Diceros bicornis minor: one gene and its partner. The protein of the gene in region 1 purifies or fractionates together with the protein of each later gene. This does not show direct contact. Links are inferred from orthologs where the notes say so. Each region holds a gene or a part of one and is shown on either strand. Other genes may lie near its edges.

Region 1 (7,920 bases):
GTTGACAGGAGCCACTACTGTCCCAGTCTGAGGTCCCTGTACTTCCTCTGCCCACCCACTACCATCAAACATAAATAAACAATGACAAAATTAACAAAATCCATACAATTCACCAGAAAAATAGTGACAAATTACATTTCCATGATTTTAGTGCCCGAAAACATCCATAAAAGCAGTGTAAGTAATTTACGGAGGATATTCCAATCTTTACTGCAAAACTGATCAATGCGTTTTTTGCAGCAATATCTTATTCAAGAACACTCAAGACCTGGGCTTACGGAATAAACTACAAAGGCCAGTTATAGGAGTATCTTAAGTATTCAAAGATGACAAGACATTAAAAAAAAAGGTATCAGAATCCAGTAAGAGATCCCTCTTTTGGCCGACTCATCCCTAATTTGGGAATCAGCCAGGCAGACGTCACAAGCCACAGGCCTTCTGGATCCACTACGTCAGCCATTCCATCTCGAGCTAACGTCTGCACAGTTCACTCACAGATCTCCCCGGTCCGAGAATTCAATGCTGCAATCACATTTTTCTCTGTGGCCACAACCAACTTCTTGGATCCAGGGGAAAACTCCAAGGAGGCAAACTTGAGCTTCCCAACATACTGCTGTCTCCTGGGGAGAGAGAACAGGGAAATAAATGTAAGGGGCCCAAACCATCACTGCAGAAAATACTTTGGAAAAAGGCAACTGCACAAATACATGAGGTTATCACCATCATACCTATCTTAGAGCGTATGAGAAATGTTTGTTAACAAACAGATCTGACCAAAAGCAAGATTTCTATGCAATGTAGTCAGAAGCAAAGGGAACAAGAAGAGAGAATACCCCCTAGCAGATAAGAAACGCGACAGTCTTCCTTCTAAATGCAAGCACATATTTTGCTCGAGATAAGTGACACCCAAGAGAGCACGTGGCCTAAATCCCACTAGAACAAACATTACAGTCCTCTCTGTATTCGATAATAGTGGGACTAGACACTCACGTTACATGCGACAGAAGAGACACAAACCCTGTTGTCAACGAGCATACAATCCAACTTTCCCTTCTACTTTCACGACCTCTGGAGAAAAAATGATGCCAATTTCCCAACAAAACTCCAGAGACCGGGTCAGGCCTTTTGTTCTCTACAGCCTTTTCTAGCTCACACCATGTTCAGGATCCATTTGACTCATTGTTCATATTTTCCTTGGAATATATCCCATCACTTTCAACACTCCTACCTAAGCATAAATGGAACATACTAGCTTTGCATGGATACTATCAAATACACAGGAGGTGCTTGCACATTCTTTTTAATTAAGAAGTACGGCAACCACTAGCTAATTAAACACACGTGACGTTTACACTGAATTTCTCTTGTTGTGATGTTGTTTGCTCTACTTTTTCAAAAAAAGAAAAGACTAAGCCCGGTAGAGAGACAGGCTTATATGACATTTGACAGTTTCTACCTGCATTTTCACATACTTTTTCGTTGTACGCACTGAACAATCTGAAGTATGTAGAACAAACATTATTACTCTCATTTTACAGGTAAGTAAATCAATGTCTACTGACATCAACTAATCTCTGTCAGAACTAGACCACAAAACTAAGACCTTCTGACTCTAAATCCCATGCTCTCTTTTAAACTAAGTGCTGCCTTTATCTGGACTATAAAAGTAATGCCTGCTCGCTGTAGAAAATGTGAAAAATACATAAAAGTATAAAAAATAAAATGAAAAATGCCTAAAATACCACGACCATAAACTTTTTAATGTTTTGGTGTATTTCCTTCTATTTATTTCTCAATTTGTAAATTGCATATACCTAATATTCTGTTAAATTGGAATATCACATATTGTGCATACGTGTAATATATACATATCATACTACACATTTTCCCACATCATTAAAAACGTGACTTACGTTGCATTTGTTACACCGTCTTATATCACATACTTATATATCTGCCCCGCTAGACTGAGCTCCTTCCCATCTCTGTATCCACAGCATCTGAACATCTGTCCCACCACAGGCACTCAACAAATACATCAATCAATTTGTCTGAGACACAAAAGACTTCAGAGAGGAGAAGATAGCTGAGCTGGGCTCTGAAGGATCGTGTTCCCTGATTAGTAATAATGAGCAACATTTACTGACTGCACTCAAGGAGCCAGGTATTGTGCTAAGTAATTTAAAGGAATTATCTCATTCATCCTTACAGCTACTGTAGGAAGTAATGAGCTATTTGTAAACCCATCTTACAGATAAAGAACCAGGCACAGAGTGGTTAAGTCTCTTCCCAAGATCACACAACCTTTACGTCACAAAATTGAGATTCAAACAAAAGCAAGCCAACTCCGGGGACTTAAGGAAGGGATGGGTGAGTGAGTGAGTGGGTGAATGAGTGAGTGAATGAATGAATGGCACTTAGGGGCTGATGTGAGTATTGGACGGCCCTGTCCTGAGCTGGAAGGGAGGAGAAAGAGGACTCAGTTTAGGACTCAATAAAACCCAAGCCCCTGTTCACACGCCCAAGAGATGCCAATTCGAGGAGGAATGAGAGTTCACTGCAGGCTGTCGACTTGTGACACACAGTGGATCAGAAACCTGACGGCCACAGAAGCGGGGCCCGGCGGGGGAGGAGGGAACAGTGACCTCTGACCAGAACCCCGAGCGTGTCTGAACAGCAGGGCCGGCTGCATCGGCTTGCGACCTGTATAGTTACACAAGGACCGGCTTAGAAGCGCCCCCAACACTTGGTTGCATGCTGTGCTGTCGCCACCTTAAAACTCTTAATTTTTGAACGAGAGATCCCACATTTTCATTCTGCACTGGGCTCCGCAAGTTACGCAGCCAATTCTGCCACATGATAACGATAACCTCCCTCCCTTTAGCCGAGAGAAGACAGGTGCTGGGAAAATAGCCACATATTTCCCGAAGAGGCCCCACACGTACGCACCAATCAAACTTGCCCACTTGGTCTTCGTAGACCGCGGCCGCAGGCACAAGCAGGGCAGCCCAGAACCAGAACCGGGAAGCCGCCGCCGCCGCCATGATGGGAGGCCGGTCCCGCCCGCCGCCGGCCCGGCATGCACCGCGCCGCAGGCCCCGCCTCCGCGGAACCATAGAGTTGGGACGGCACGCGAAGCCCCGGGTGGGGCGCTCAGGACTCGGAGGACCCCGGACGGGCGAGAAATCGCCCTGGAGACGCGGGGAAGAGCGCAGGCGGTGGCCAGCAGGAGGAGGGGGCCGTAGCGCAGATTGAGTCAGGCACGCGCGAGGGCAGCCCCCGAGGGCCATCCCAGAGTTCCCCGCGCCGCCGGGGTCCTAACAGGCAGCACCGTCTTCCGCCGCACGTGCCTGCAACGAGATGCCCAAATCTAAGCGCGATAAGAAAGGTGGGCGAAGGGGGCTTTGGGACTCGGTGGGGAGTGCCGCCGGCTGGCTGTCAGCTGCGGTGGGGTGCTTCGAGAGGACGGAATGGGACGCCGGGACCTCGGCGAGGAGCTCCGCGGGCTCGCTGCGAGCTCGGATGGGGGCGTCGGAGCGGCGGGAGCATCGGAGAGGGCTGGAGCGTGGTGGGGTCAAGGGATCGGAGAGCTCCTTAAGAGCTCTTCCAAGGCCGACTGGGCCGACAAACAGCCTCTGAACACGCAGGCTGCGCCCCATCTCGCTTTGGCCCACCCCTCCCACCTCAATTTCACTCTCTGAGCTCTGCGCTCCCGCCACCCTGGCCGCCTTTCCTTTCGTTCAGCACAGGCTTATTCCCTGCCCTTTGTTACTTGCAGTTCTCTCTGTCTGGCGTGCCTTTATGCTCTGACCTTCACATGGCTGGTTCTTTCTCGGTTCTCAGTTCATAGGGCACCTTCTAAGAAACCATTCCTGACCATCTTTACAATTTTGGCTTCTCCCACCCTGGCTCTCCAGCACATTCACTCAACGAATATTTAGGGGGCCTGGAACTCTCTAGGCGTTGGAGGATATAGCAGTTACAACAAGAAAGGCCTAGAGCACTCATCGCACTTAACGTTTTAGTCATGGGATACATATCTCCCCCAAATACCAAAAGTCTCATCAAGTCAGACAGTCGTGAGTCCCATGGAGAAAAAGTAACAGAAAGAGGTGATATTATTTTGTGTAACGTAGCCAGAAAAGGTCTCTCTGATGAGGTGACAAATGAACAGAAACCTGAAGAAAGAGAATAAGCAACCCATGGAGTTACCTTCGGGGAATGGTGTTCCAAGTCTAGGTCTGCCGCTTACAGCGCTCCAAGAGCAGGAACAAGCCCTGCCCCCACACTTCAGTAGGGGTTTTTAGGTTAGCCTAAGAGGGCTGAGGAGCACCTAGTTTGTCTAAGCAACAGAAAATATATCAAAGGGTCTCCAGGCTCAGGAATGCTAGAGAGTAGGCACTCTGAGGACCCCAGGAATAGCCTTGTGTGCCAGTAGTGGCTGCATCAGCCTTGCTGCCCTTCCTCAGAGTGGCTCGGTCCAGCTGAGCAGCCAGGGAGAAGAAAAGGAGTCTCCAGGACATCCAGATTTGTTTTTCATCATCTCCTTTTTCTTCTTTGTATTAGTTTCCTTAACCAAAACTGCCAAGAAAGGCTTGGAACTGAAACAGAACCTGATCGAAGAGGTAATAGCTCATTCTTTTTATTTTTTCGGATCTTGTGTTTGGTTTATAAAGGTGGGTGTAGGGCTGTTTGTCAGGGAAACATACTGTTAAAAAAAAAACAAAAACAGCTGCCGATGCAGGCCTTTTTCCACCAGTAGCAGCACCACCAATCATCCCACAGCAATGATTTCCAGCTTTCACTGAGCTCTTACTCTATGCCCTGCTCGGTGCTGAGCATTTCGTATGTGTTGTTCACTCCATCCTCACCACATCCCTCTGGGTAGATGCGAGGTGACGTTATCACTGTTATGCAGTTGGGTAGCTGAAGCTCACAGAGATTTGCTAGCCTGTTCCATGTCAAAAAGCTGGGGAGTTACCAGTTGTGGGCAAATGCACCAGCCCGCTGTCTGCACTGCTTCAGGGCTGCAGGCTGGCTGACAGCAGCATCTCCTCCCGCACAGATTGTGTCTTTGAGACCACCTCATCGTGGCTGCAGCCAGCAACGTGGGGGTGGAGAAGGGCCGTTGAGCTGCCTCCCCTTATGAGTAAATAAGGAGGCTTTCTATGCTTCCAGCTAGCAGGAGCCTTCCTAGCGTAGCTGAGTATTTTTAGGTTGTCAGCAGTTAATGGACAAGGCAAAGAGAAGTGGTGGATTCCACTGTTGGCCACAGATAAGTCAGGAATGTGGGAAGACTGGGATCTTGACCCATGGCTCAGCTTCCCCTGCCCTTTGAGGTCATGTCTGCTTGGCCTCAGGGGAGCCCCTATCCTTAGGGATCCTGGCTTCAGTAATGGAGGTGAGGAGGAGACAACTAGATTAGAGGCCTGCAACTCTCAACTTCCACAGTTGTAGAATCTAGAGCAGATTCTTTCCCATCTGAGGCCAGAGTATTGCCCAACTCGTGCTGCCCCTTGAACTCCAGAGCCCCATGAATTGTCCCACAGCTTCGGAAATGTGTGGACACGTACAAGTACCTTTTCATCTTCTCCGTGGCCAACATGAGGAACAACAAGCTGAAGGACATCCGGAACGCCTGGAAGCACAGCCGGTGAGCAGGCAGTGGGAAGAGTGGGGAAGGGGCCAGGCTGCTCTCAAAGCACAGGGGCAAGTATTGACCCTTGGGTACCTGGTACCTTAATAAGGGCAAAGGGCCACTCCCACTGAAGGGCGCTTTTTCAGCATTAAAGCTGGTCTTGCACTGAGCTTCTTGAGGGACAGGACTTGATAGTTGCTTAAGGGATGTCTGATCAGTGATCCCTCCAGGAGAAGGGGCTCCCTTCACCCTGGGGTCTGATCCTTTTAGGAACATCTCGTCAGTTTTAGAATGTCAATACAGTCACGTGCTGTCCAACAATGTTTCAGTCAACAACGGACCACATACATAACAGTAGTCCCATAAGATTAGTACCACATAGCTTAGATGCGAGGTCGATTATGCCATCTAGGTGTGTGTAAGAACACTGATATCCGCACAATGATGAGATCGCCTAACGATGCGTGTCTTAGAACCTATCCCCATGGCTGATGTGCTCCAGGAGGCACACAATGACCCGAGAGCAGGCTGCATGAGCCCTTTGGCGAGTACCTGTCCTTGGGCTGGATTTGTGACAGTGCAGGTGATGACTCCGGTTGTCTCTTGCTGCACCAGCTCTGGTTCAGACCATGGCACGTGCCTCGTCTGCACTTCCAGCCAGGGCAGCACGGGGGGCGGGTTCACATAACACTCACACTGGGTTGGTAGACAAAATATTGTGAATGCCAGGTCTGTGGCAGGAAAATAATGAAAGAGATCCTGGGCTGGGGACAGAGCGGGTAGGGCCACATGGAAGAAGTGGGAGCCTTTGGCCACCCCTCCCGCTACAGAACAGCCTAGGCCTGGGCTTGGGCCCCCGCGGACTAGAGCTGGCAAGCACTTAACTGAGGGGAGGGCTGGGTAGGGCACCCCCTTCACGGAGGCCTCCTTTTCTCTGTAGGATGTTCTTTGGCAAAAACAAAGTGATGATGGTGGCCTTGGGTCGAAGCCCATCTGACGAGTACAAAGACAACCTGCACCAGGTGAGGCTGGCCCTCTCCGGAGGGGCCGGGGCCAGGCCGCTGCTCACAACACACTCTCCGGCCATCAGGCCCGGCCGGGATCAGGGAGGGCGAGGCCTGGCTTAAAGCTCCGGTTCTCCTTTAACCTCCAGACACAGCGAGTAGTGCCCCTCCCAGCTGGGACAACCAGAAATGTCTCCGATGTTGCCAGAGGTCCCCTGAGGGGAGGGGGGTGCAAAATTGTCCCCAGGTGAGACCCACTGCTCTAATGTGACCGAGCTGATCCTCTGTTTGTTTCCTAGGTCAGCAAGAAGTTGAGGGGTGAAGTTGGTCTCCTTTTCACCAATCGCACTAAGGAGGAAGTGAACGAGTAAGTGTTTTTGAGGAGTGGTAAGGAAGAGAAAGATTGGTGAGGACTCTAGGGAAGGAATAATCTAGGGGCTTTGTACAGTGGAGGCATCAAGGAAAAACTGCTTCCTAGAACCCAGTTTACTGAGTCGTTATTCTCCAGCACGGTGCTCCAGGCTGGCTGCCAGCCAGCAGCTGAGATGGACGGGGAGGGGAGGCGAGACCCACGGGGAGCCTGATTGTAGGTGGGCGGGTGGGCCAGTCAGGAACCTGCCCTCCTTCCACTTCTCTTTCCCTTCAGGTGGTTCACCAAATACACAGAGATGGACTACGCCCGAGCTGGGAACAAAGCAGCGTTCACCGTGAGCCTGGACCCAGGGCCCCTGGAGCAGTTCCCCCACTCCATGGAGCCACAGCTGAGGCAGCTGGGCCTGCCCACTGCCCTCAGGAGAGGTACGGGGAAGTCCCTGGAGCTGAAAGGTCCCAGCTTCGAGGTCAAGAGCACAGGCCCCCAAGCCCGACGGGCCCTCCTCCCCGTCCTGGCTGAGTGGGTTTTCCCAGCCTCCATTCTCTCATTTGAAGATGGGGCCGAGAGTGCCCGCCTCATAGCTGGGGGGAAGTGGACAGCGACTTAGAGCCAGAACACAGCACTGCAGGACAATGAGGGAGGTGGTCACTGCCCTGAAAACCCTCCCAGGCAGCTGGACACGTCTGACTGAGCTGCCCTGGCATGTGCGGGGGGCCAGCCAGCTTGCTCCTAGCTCTGGGCAGTGGGCAGGAAGCTCTGTCAGCAGGAACTGCTCAGGGGCCCCCTTCTTTGCAGGCGTGGTGACCCTGCTGTCCGACTACGAGGTGTGCAAAGAGGGCGACGTGCTGACCCCAGAGCAGGCCCGCATCCTGGTGAGTCCGCCCCCTCTGGCGGCTGCAGGCTGT
Region 2 (7,981 bases), on another chromosome or scaffold:
GAAACTTCCTCTTTTTAATACTTTAATTTCATCTTCATGATCTGGACCATCCTTTTCTTTTCACATAATTACCCAAGTCTTTCTTAAAGTATTGTTCCTCCCTCTTCACTATATCCTCACTAGTGGATCTTATCATCAGGAGGGGCCCCCTTCTGTGCTCCTGCAGCATCTTCTGCTTGGATTACCCCCTCCAGCCTGTAATTAATTACTTCCAGGTATTGTTCCCCGTGTGCACGCAGAGCCCATCACAAGAGTCTGGGGTCACGTGACCCAGCCTTCACTGTCAGTAACAGCCTCACATTTACACTTTTCATTTTTACAGAAGCTAATTTCACTTTTGGTTTACAATTCAGGACAGGGGTTTGTATCAGTCAGAAAATGGAACCCACTCTAGGTCTTTCAACAGAAAGGTTCTAATCGGGAAATTGGTTAAACAGGTGCATTAGTTACCTATAGCCGTGTAAAAAGTTACCCTAGAACTTAGTGGCTTAAAGCAACAATAATCATTATCTTTCATGGTTTCTGTAGGTCTGGAATTTGGGAGCAGCTTGGCTGAGCGATTCTGATACAGGGTCTCTCAGGGGCTTGCAGTCAAGATATCGGCAGGGGCTGCAGTCATCTGAAGGCTTGACCCGGGCTGGAGGAGCCACTTCCACGACGTTGGTGGGAGGCCTGAGTTTCTCTCTATGCGCGCCTCTCCCAGAGCTGCTCAAGTGTCCTCAAGACATGACGGCTGGCTTCCCCCAGAGGAAGCTGTTCAAGAGAGCAAGGTAGAAGCAACAATGCCTTTTATGACCTACCTCCAGAAGTCACACAGCATCTCATCTGCCACATTCTCAGTCAGAAGTGAGTCACTAAACCAATTCTGCCTCCCAGTCTGGGAGCGGGGAATTAGGCTCCACCTTTTGAAGGGAGGAGGGTCAAGAATTTGTGGATATATTTGTTTTGGTGAGGAAGATTGGCCCTGAGCTAACATCTGTTGCCAATCTTCCTCTTTTTTTTCATGAAGAAGATTAACCCTGAGATAAGATCTGTGCCAATCTTCCTCTATTTTGTATGTGGGTCACTGCCACAGCATCGCTGAAGAATGGTGTGGGTCCGGGCCTGGGATCTGAACCTGTGAACCCAGGCCGCCGAAGCAGAGCATGCCCAACTTAACCACTACGCCACGGGGCTGGCTCCTGGATATATTTTGAAACCAAACACCAGGTGATGATAGAGCTGAAGATCCAAACAAGGGATGGTGAGACAACTTACAGATTAACGAGAGCAGAAAGACCCCAACCCACTTAGGACTGGAGGAAAGAAGGGAGGAAGTGGGGTTACCGGATCCCAGGAGCCAGGACCACCCAGTGGAAACTGGAACTTCAGAGGAGCTGCAGGTTTGAAGACAGCCGCTAACGGCGACGCTTCCCAAAGCAGAGAGGGAGACAAACACTCTAGCTCCTTCCTTCCTCTCCCCTCTAGTCTTCCATCAGTGCCTGCAACTGGCAGGATCTTCCAGGAAGCAGAGTGCAAGGGAGCCTGGAAAACTTAGTTTCTTGTGATGCAGAGGTGAGCAGAGAGGGCTGGGATGGATCTGAGATCAAATGAGTAAAGGACTAGCATGGAGCCCCCCAAAATGGCTGATTTGATTAGATGGTGATATTGTGGTTAAATTTGTCTTGAATTCTGATTATTTTTACATATTAATATTGTTTTCAATAAAATGACATTTTAAAACTGAAAATGAAAAAAAAAAGAATAATGAAAGAAATTTTCCCAGTCTCCTTTAATCTTCCTTAATTTTAAAAGACTTCTTTGGGACCAAAGGGAAGGAGTGTTAATACCCAGACAGCAGAAAGCTGATCTAGCCTTTCTGTGGAAACAGCCTTTTGTTATTCTCTTGACAACTTGCCAGCACTTGAGAACTGACTGATGCAGCTGATCCAAACCCCTCAACAGTTTCTAACCGGGTTTCCTGGTCCCTGCCACACACAACAAGCTTCTGATTCCGAGTAGAAATAATTTATTTTGTCTGCTCTAGATATATACCCAAGAGAATTGGAAATATATGTCCATACAAAAACGTGTGCATGAATGTTCACAGCAACATTCTTCATAATAGCCAAAAAGTGTAAACGACCCAAATGTCCATCAACAGGTGAATGGACAGACAAAACGTGGTCTATCCATATAACACAATATCGTTCAGCCATAACAAGGAATGAAGCACTGACACATCACAACACAGAAGAACCTTGAAAACATGCTCAGTGAAAGAAGCTGGTCACAAAAGGTCACATATTGTAGGATTCCGTTCCAAATCCATAGCGACAGGCAGTAGATTAGCGGTGGCCAGGGGCTGAGGGGAGGAGGAACGGGCAGTGACTGCTAATGGGTATGGGATTTCTTTTTGGCCTGATGAAATGTTTTGGAATTAAGTGACGATGGTTGAACAACTCCGAATATACTAAAAACCACTGAATCGTACACTTGAAAACGGTGAATTTTATGGTACGTGAAAAGGAAGGAAGGAAGGAAGGGAGGACCCATTTTTTGTTGCACTTCACTGACCACTGATCACCACCTGGTGGCTTCTAGACCAGACCCCAGTTGAGAGGTTTGTTCGTCATCCATCAAATATTTATTGAGCACCCCCTATGTGCCAGCTGTTTGTTATGCTGGATGTGTTCATGCACACCATGGCACGTGAGCTCATGCCAATCTGAGGACCACTGAAGTGCACATTTACTGTGGGTGACCTGGCATGTCCTGAGAACCTGTGGTTCTTTGTCTTCAGATCCTGAAATAATGTTGAAAGACGCCTGGTGAGTAATTATAACAACGATGCTAGAAAGAAAAACCTGTATAAAGAAGGAACGAAACCAAGTAGTTGGTAGTAATTATTTTACAGTACCGTGATTAGAGTTACCTTTGTCTCCTTTCTCACTTTCAGATAGCACAGTTAATTACTTTATAATATAAAAAATACATTTACAGAAGACTTCGGGCTGCATCTTTGGTTTGGCCACCACTGTGTTTTCAAAAATTGTATTTAGATACAGCATCTATGCTCCAGTTTGCCACAGTCCTCCCCACTCCCTATTGCCTTAAGCTGGTGCCATCTCTCAATCTTATAAGCTGCTTGATTCCTGAAGGCACTTGATTTTGGGACCCCTGATTTATATAATAAACCCCCCCATATACAATTCATTGTATTCCACTGAGATGCTAAATGTCCACATTTTAAATCCCTGATAAGTGGAGTTAGAACATTATTTAATCAGTTTGAAAATTAATATTTAATTTCCAGAGAAAAATAGAATTGTTCCTGGCGCTTTTCTACAGAGTTGGGTTGCTTGGGAAGTCAAAAAACCTGTATCCATTAGTTCAATTCAGTTTAATAGAAAACCTCTGAAGGCATTACAAGCAGGAAGAGATTTCGTGCACAGAAAAGGGGCTTCTGAATGGGTCGGTGAGGCCGGAGGAGCAGGCTCCAGGCTGGGCCTCCCTCCAGCGACGGCTCCCAGAATAACACTACAGAACTGACCTGCCAGCAGAAGCAAGAACTCTGCCACAGTCTGGAGGGTGGGGAATCAGGGGACCATTACTAGAACTCTCGAGTTCAATAACACATCATAGCCAGGAAGCTTCCATCACTGTAGCTACACCTGTTTCTTGACACCTGAAGCAGGCAAACTGGATCTTGGGCCACTACTGCCCCCTATTGCCTGCTGAGGTTTGAAGAAATAACCCCTCAAATTTGCACTACACACGCACATACATGGTGTCATCCGATCCTCACCATAACTTGACCAGATGCAAGGAATGTGGTGTCATCCCCGTTTTACAGATAAGGAAAGTGAAGCTCAGAGAGGTGATGGAACATAATTAAGGTCACACAGTGCAGAACTGGAGTAACAACAGGTCTCCTCCTCCCCAGGCCAGTTCAATGAACTTGACATGTCAACTAACACAGCCTTTTGTGAGGTCTTTTGTGGCTCTATGGTAGGACCTGAGAGCACAGCACATAATATGCCAAGTGCCTCATGAGTGGCACAGACTGGTAAATAACTATAACTCAGTAGGCACAAATCTGCCTTGTAAGCACAGAGGAAGGGGCTAGTATTTGGCAGAAGAAGGTCTAGGAACATTTCAGAGAAAAGGCAACATTTGAATAGGGTTTTGAGGGATAAGTAGGAGTGTACCAGGAGGCAAAGAGCGGAAAAAAATTGTCCTAGTAGCTGGCAAGAGCTAAGGGAATGGGAGGTGGCCCCAAGACTTTGCGGAGCTGAGAGAATTCTAATTTTGGAGGATGTAGACAAGGTAAAATTTTTTTGGTAGTTGTATCACATACGCACAGTAAAATAAGGTGCATTCAGCTTAAGTACACAGCTTCTTGATTTTTTAAAAAAGCATCTGTAAACACTCAAGTACCCATCATGTAGGGGAAGATATAAAACATTTCCAACATCCCAGGCGGTTCCCTCGTGCCCCTTTTCAGCCTATACCCGCCTCCGTCCTTTCCCCATTGGTTTTTGCTGGGTGAGGGGAGGCCAGCATAAAACCTCAAAGCCTTTGGCTGCAGCCCCCATCTCAAATTCCCTCCACTCCTATTGCTGCCGCCAAATCTTTCGCCATCTTTTTTGGACAATCCTAAGAGGGCACTGCACCGAGCGCGGTAGTTTTCTTGATAGCGCCGCTTTCTTGTGTGGTCCACGTGAAATTTAGGTTGCGCGCGAAAAGGGAGCGAGGTGAGGCCGACGGCTTTTGGCCCTTCGGAGCCACCGTCCAGGGGCCGCGCGGAGGCGCCATGTCCCTCGGCGGCCGCCGTGCGTCCGTTACGTGGCAGCTGCCGGCGCCCGCCAATCCACGGCGCCCGCATCAGCCCCCTCGGGTGGCGCAGCCGGAAGGGGCGGAGCGGAGGCGGCGGCGGCTGAGGAGGCAGCGGTGGCGGCGGCGGCGGCGGCGGCTCTGGAGGCCGCACTCTGGGTCCTGGCTTCGGCCCCAGCCGCACCATGGTGACGCTCGCTGAGCTGCTGGTGCTCCTGGCCGCCCTCCTGGCCACGGCCTCGGGCTACTTCGTCAGCATCGACGCGCACGCCGAGGAGTGCTTCTTCGAGCGGGTCACCTCGGGCACCAAGATGGGCCTCATCTTCGAGGTGGCCGAGGGCGGCTTCCTGGACATCGACGTGGAGGTGCGGGCGCCCTGCCCGCGGCCGAGGCGGGGTCGCGCGGGGCGCGCCCGGGGTCTGCGGGGGAGCGGGGCGTGGGGGCGGCTGTCCGCGTTCTGGGAGGGGCCCGGGCCCCGCCTGGGCGACCCCCAACGGCCCTGTCGCCGCGGCCGGCCAGGATTCCGGGCGCGGGCTCCCCTCGGGCTGCGGAGCCTGGGCTTAGTCGCTTTGGGTTCCCACCCTGAACGGCGGGTCCCCCGGCACGTCTCGCCGAGCTTTGTCGACCGGGCGCCGCGTGTCAGCTCCGGGCCCAGAAGGCGCCTCCCGGGGGTTAGCTGGTGGCAGGACTCGGTACGCCCGGCAGCCGCGTTCCTTCGTGTTACGGGCTAATGTTGGAACGTGGCAGGGAAACGTCTGAAAAAGTAAATCGGAAGCTATGGAATGCTCGCAGACGTTCGCGTTGTGTTTTTCATTGTTTTTCATAGAAACGTCCTGAATGTTGGACTCGTTTTTACACAAACCTCCAGATATCTCTTTTAGCCATCTCTGTAGGAGAGAGGTGGAGTTGGGTCCTGCATTTTTAGGAGGGATGAGTGCAGTGAAGGATCTGGAGCGAACAGGAAATTATTTTAAGAAACCAGCCGTCCCTGAATTTCCTCCTGTTTTTTTTTTTAAACCAAGAGAATGATTCGCCTCTAATATTTTTTAGGAAACCAGATGTAATTAATATTTAAATTCATCTGTTAGCATGATTAATTGGGTTTAAGAGTTCCATTTGACAGTGAACATCAACACAGTTGGGCACAAATTACACAATACAAGTGAAGTCCAGGAATAAGGGGATAATGGGAGGAGTGACTGTTAAAGTTAGCTAAGACGTTGGAGATCAACTGTTCCAGTCTTAAGTTTTACAGGTGGTAGGGGCTTTATAAAAGAACTAACTCCAGCACCCCTAACAGCTGATTTGTAGCAGACTGGGCTGAGAACATGGGTCTCCTAATTTCCAGGCCTTTCCCTTAAGCCTTCAGCGTCTCACATAAAGCACTTTCCTTCACTGATTGGCAGTAATCAGAAAAACCTAGAAATGTAGCTTGCTCAAAATTCTTAGATTTAAAGATATTTCTTTTTTTGATGTTTTGCTATTAACAGCTACACTTTTGCTGGTGGTATTAGGCCACTTGGAGACAATGTTTAAGGTGTGGTTTCTGTTTCTGAGGGGTTTACGTTTAAGTTGGACAAATAAAACAAATGTCAAAGTTGAAAAGTGTTTAGAGAGTCTTGTTTCATAAGTGGGAGAACTGCAGCACAGAGAGGTTACTGTCGATAACTGAAGTGGAGCTAAGTGAAAATTAGATTTTCTTAGCAAATATCCTACTGCCAATAGACATCACTCATGAAGTTTATGATTTTAAGTCCGTGATATCTTATGCATTTCTTTCTTGCCTCCAGATTACAGGGCCTGATAATAAAGGAATTTATAAAGGAGACCGGGAGTCCAGTGGGAAATACACATTTGCTGCTCACATGGACGGAACATACAAGTTTTGTTTTAGCAATAGGATGTCCACCATGACTCCAAAGATAGTGATGTTCACCATTGATATTGGGGAGGCCCCAAAAGGACAAGACATGGAAACAGAAGGTGAGATGAGCATTCAGAAGATTTATATCACATTCCAAGAGTTAATATTAATTTTGTACATTTTTCTCCATCTAAATGGAATGTTTATTTTGGTTTCTTATTCTAGGTTCATTCACTGTCTTTACAACCAAAAACCTTTTGTGTAATATGCTTTTTATTTATTCAAATCTCCTAATTAACAAAAAGAAGTTTCTGGAGGTTCATGTTTGTATTTTAGGTCTTTACAGTTGCCCCTTCTAGCAGCTTTTCATAGTCACTTTGTGCTCTTGTAGGCACGTAGGTTACATGTGTCTTAGGTGGTTTGTTTGGTTAATCCTGGTATATACATCTTTATTTGCTCATTTGTTTACATGACTAGTTTAGCTAAACTTTTTATTTTTTTGTGTGTTTCTATCTTACACTTTTCTTTAGGTGGTGGAGATACCTGGGATGGTATGTGGATTGCCTTTTGACAGCATCCTGTCTTTCTGTATATTTTGTTTGCTGCTGTCTAATTTCTGCTTTCCTTCTTTCTAACCTCAGTTTGTTAGCATGAGAGTGTTTTTTCTCTTAATTAAAAAACCTTATAACTAATTAGAGTTTTGAGTGATTGTTTTTTGGCAGTTTTTATTTGGTTGACAGGAGATATAGGTTAGGTCATTTTAAATTAATAGCATTGGGAACACAGTGATTGACATTTTAGTAGTAACATCATACTTTGTTTTAAATGAATACTGAAGGGTGGAAAGATTCAACTGTAACTGGACAAGTGAAAGTCTTAATTAAACATAGCTAATAGCAAATGGTGCCTTTGACTGCAGGAAGTATTTTGTAGGCTTGTTTTACCATTATTAAAGTTTTCTAACTTGAAACTTGGTTGGATGTAAAATGCAGTTGTGGGAACCGTGTCTAGAATATGGTGACAAAAGTTCTGTCAGCCATATGTTGCAGTTAGATTAATTTTTATTCCTCAACTGACCAGTAATGAACCCTAAATTGATTCTTCTGGATAAATTGCTTACCAGGAGCCAGCAAATTTAGATTTTATTTATTTATTTTTTTTTTGCCACAGCACATGTCAGGATTGTTGGAGACTAGCAGTTCAACACATTTCATAGTATTAACATGATATCACTTGTCTTAGATAGTGAGCAATTAGTAAAGTACTTGCATCATGAAGAAGGTGAAGTGTGTGTTAGGTTTT

Evidence for each region.
Region 2: the proteins of EMC1 (region 1) and TMED2 purify together in Homo sapiens (affinity purification with mass spectrometry; 3 studies listed by BioGRID and IntAct, with this or other methods). This does not show direct contact. The link is inferred for Diceros bicornis minor from reciprocal best matches to the Homo sapiens genes EMC1 and TMED2.

Annotation. Positions count from the first base shown.
Region 1 is NC_080752.1:36,356,510-36,364,429, forward strand, and holds the start of EMC1 (ER membrane protein complex subunit 1), read right to left. Parts: upstream 3,060-7,920; 5' UTR 3,045-3,059; coding exon 2,950-3,044; intron 621-2,949; coding exon 496-620; intron 1-495. Other genes in the region: MRTO4 (mRNA turnover protein 4 homolog), read left to right, coding at 3,361-3,388, 4,567-4,625, 5,550-5,653, 6,579-6,660, 6,942-7,009, 7,289-7,440, 7,811-7,887. UniProt on the Homo sapiens protein: Part of the endoplasmic reticulum membrane protein complex (EMC) that enables the energy-independent insertion into endoplasmic reticulum membranes of newly synthesized membrane proteins.
Region 2 is NC_080774.1:6,891,393-6,899,373, reverse strand, and holds the start of TMED2 (transmembrane emp24 domain-containing protein 2), read left to right. Parts: upstream 1-4,925; 5' UTR 4,926-5,000; coding exon 5,001-5,180; intron 5,181-6,605; coding exon 6,606-6,798; intron 6,799-7,981. UniProt on the Homo sapiens protein: Involved in vesicular protein trafficking. Mainly functions in the early secretory pathway but also in post-Golgi membranes.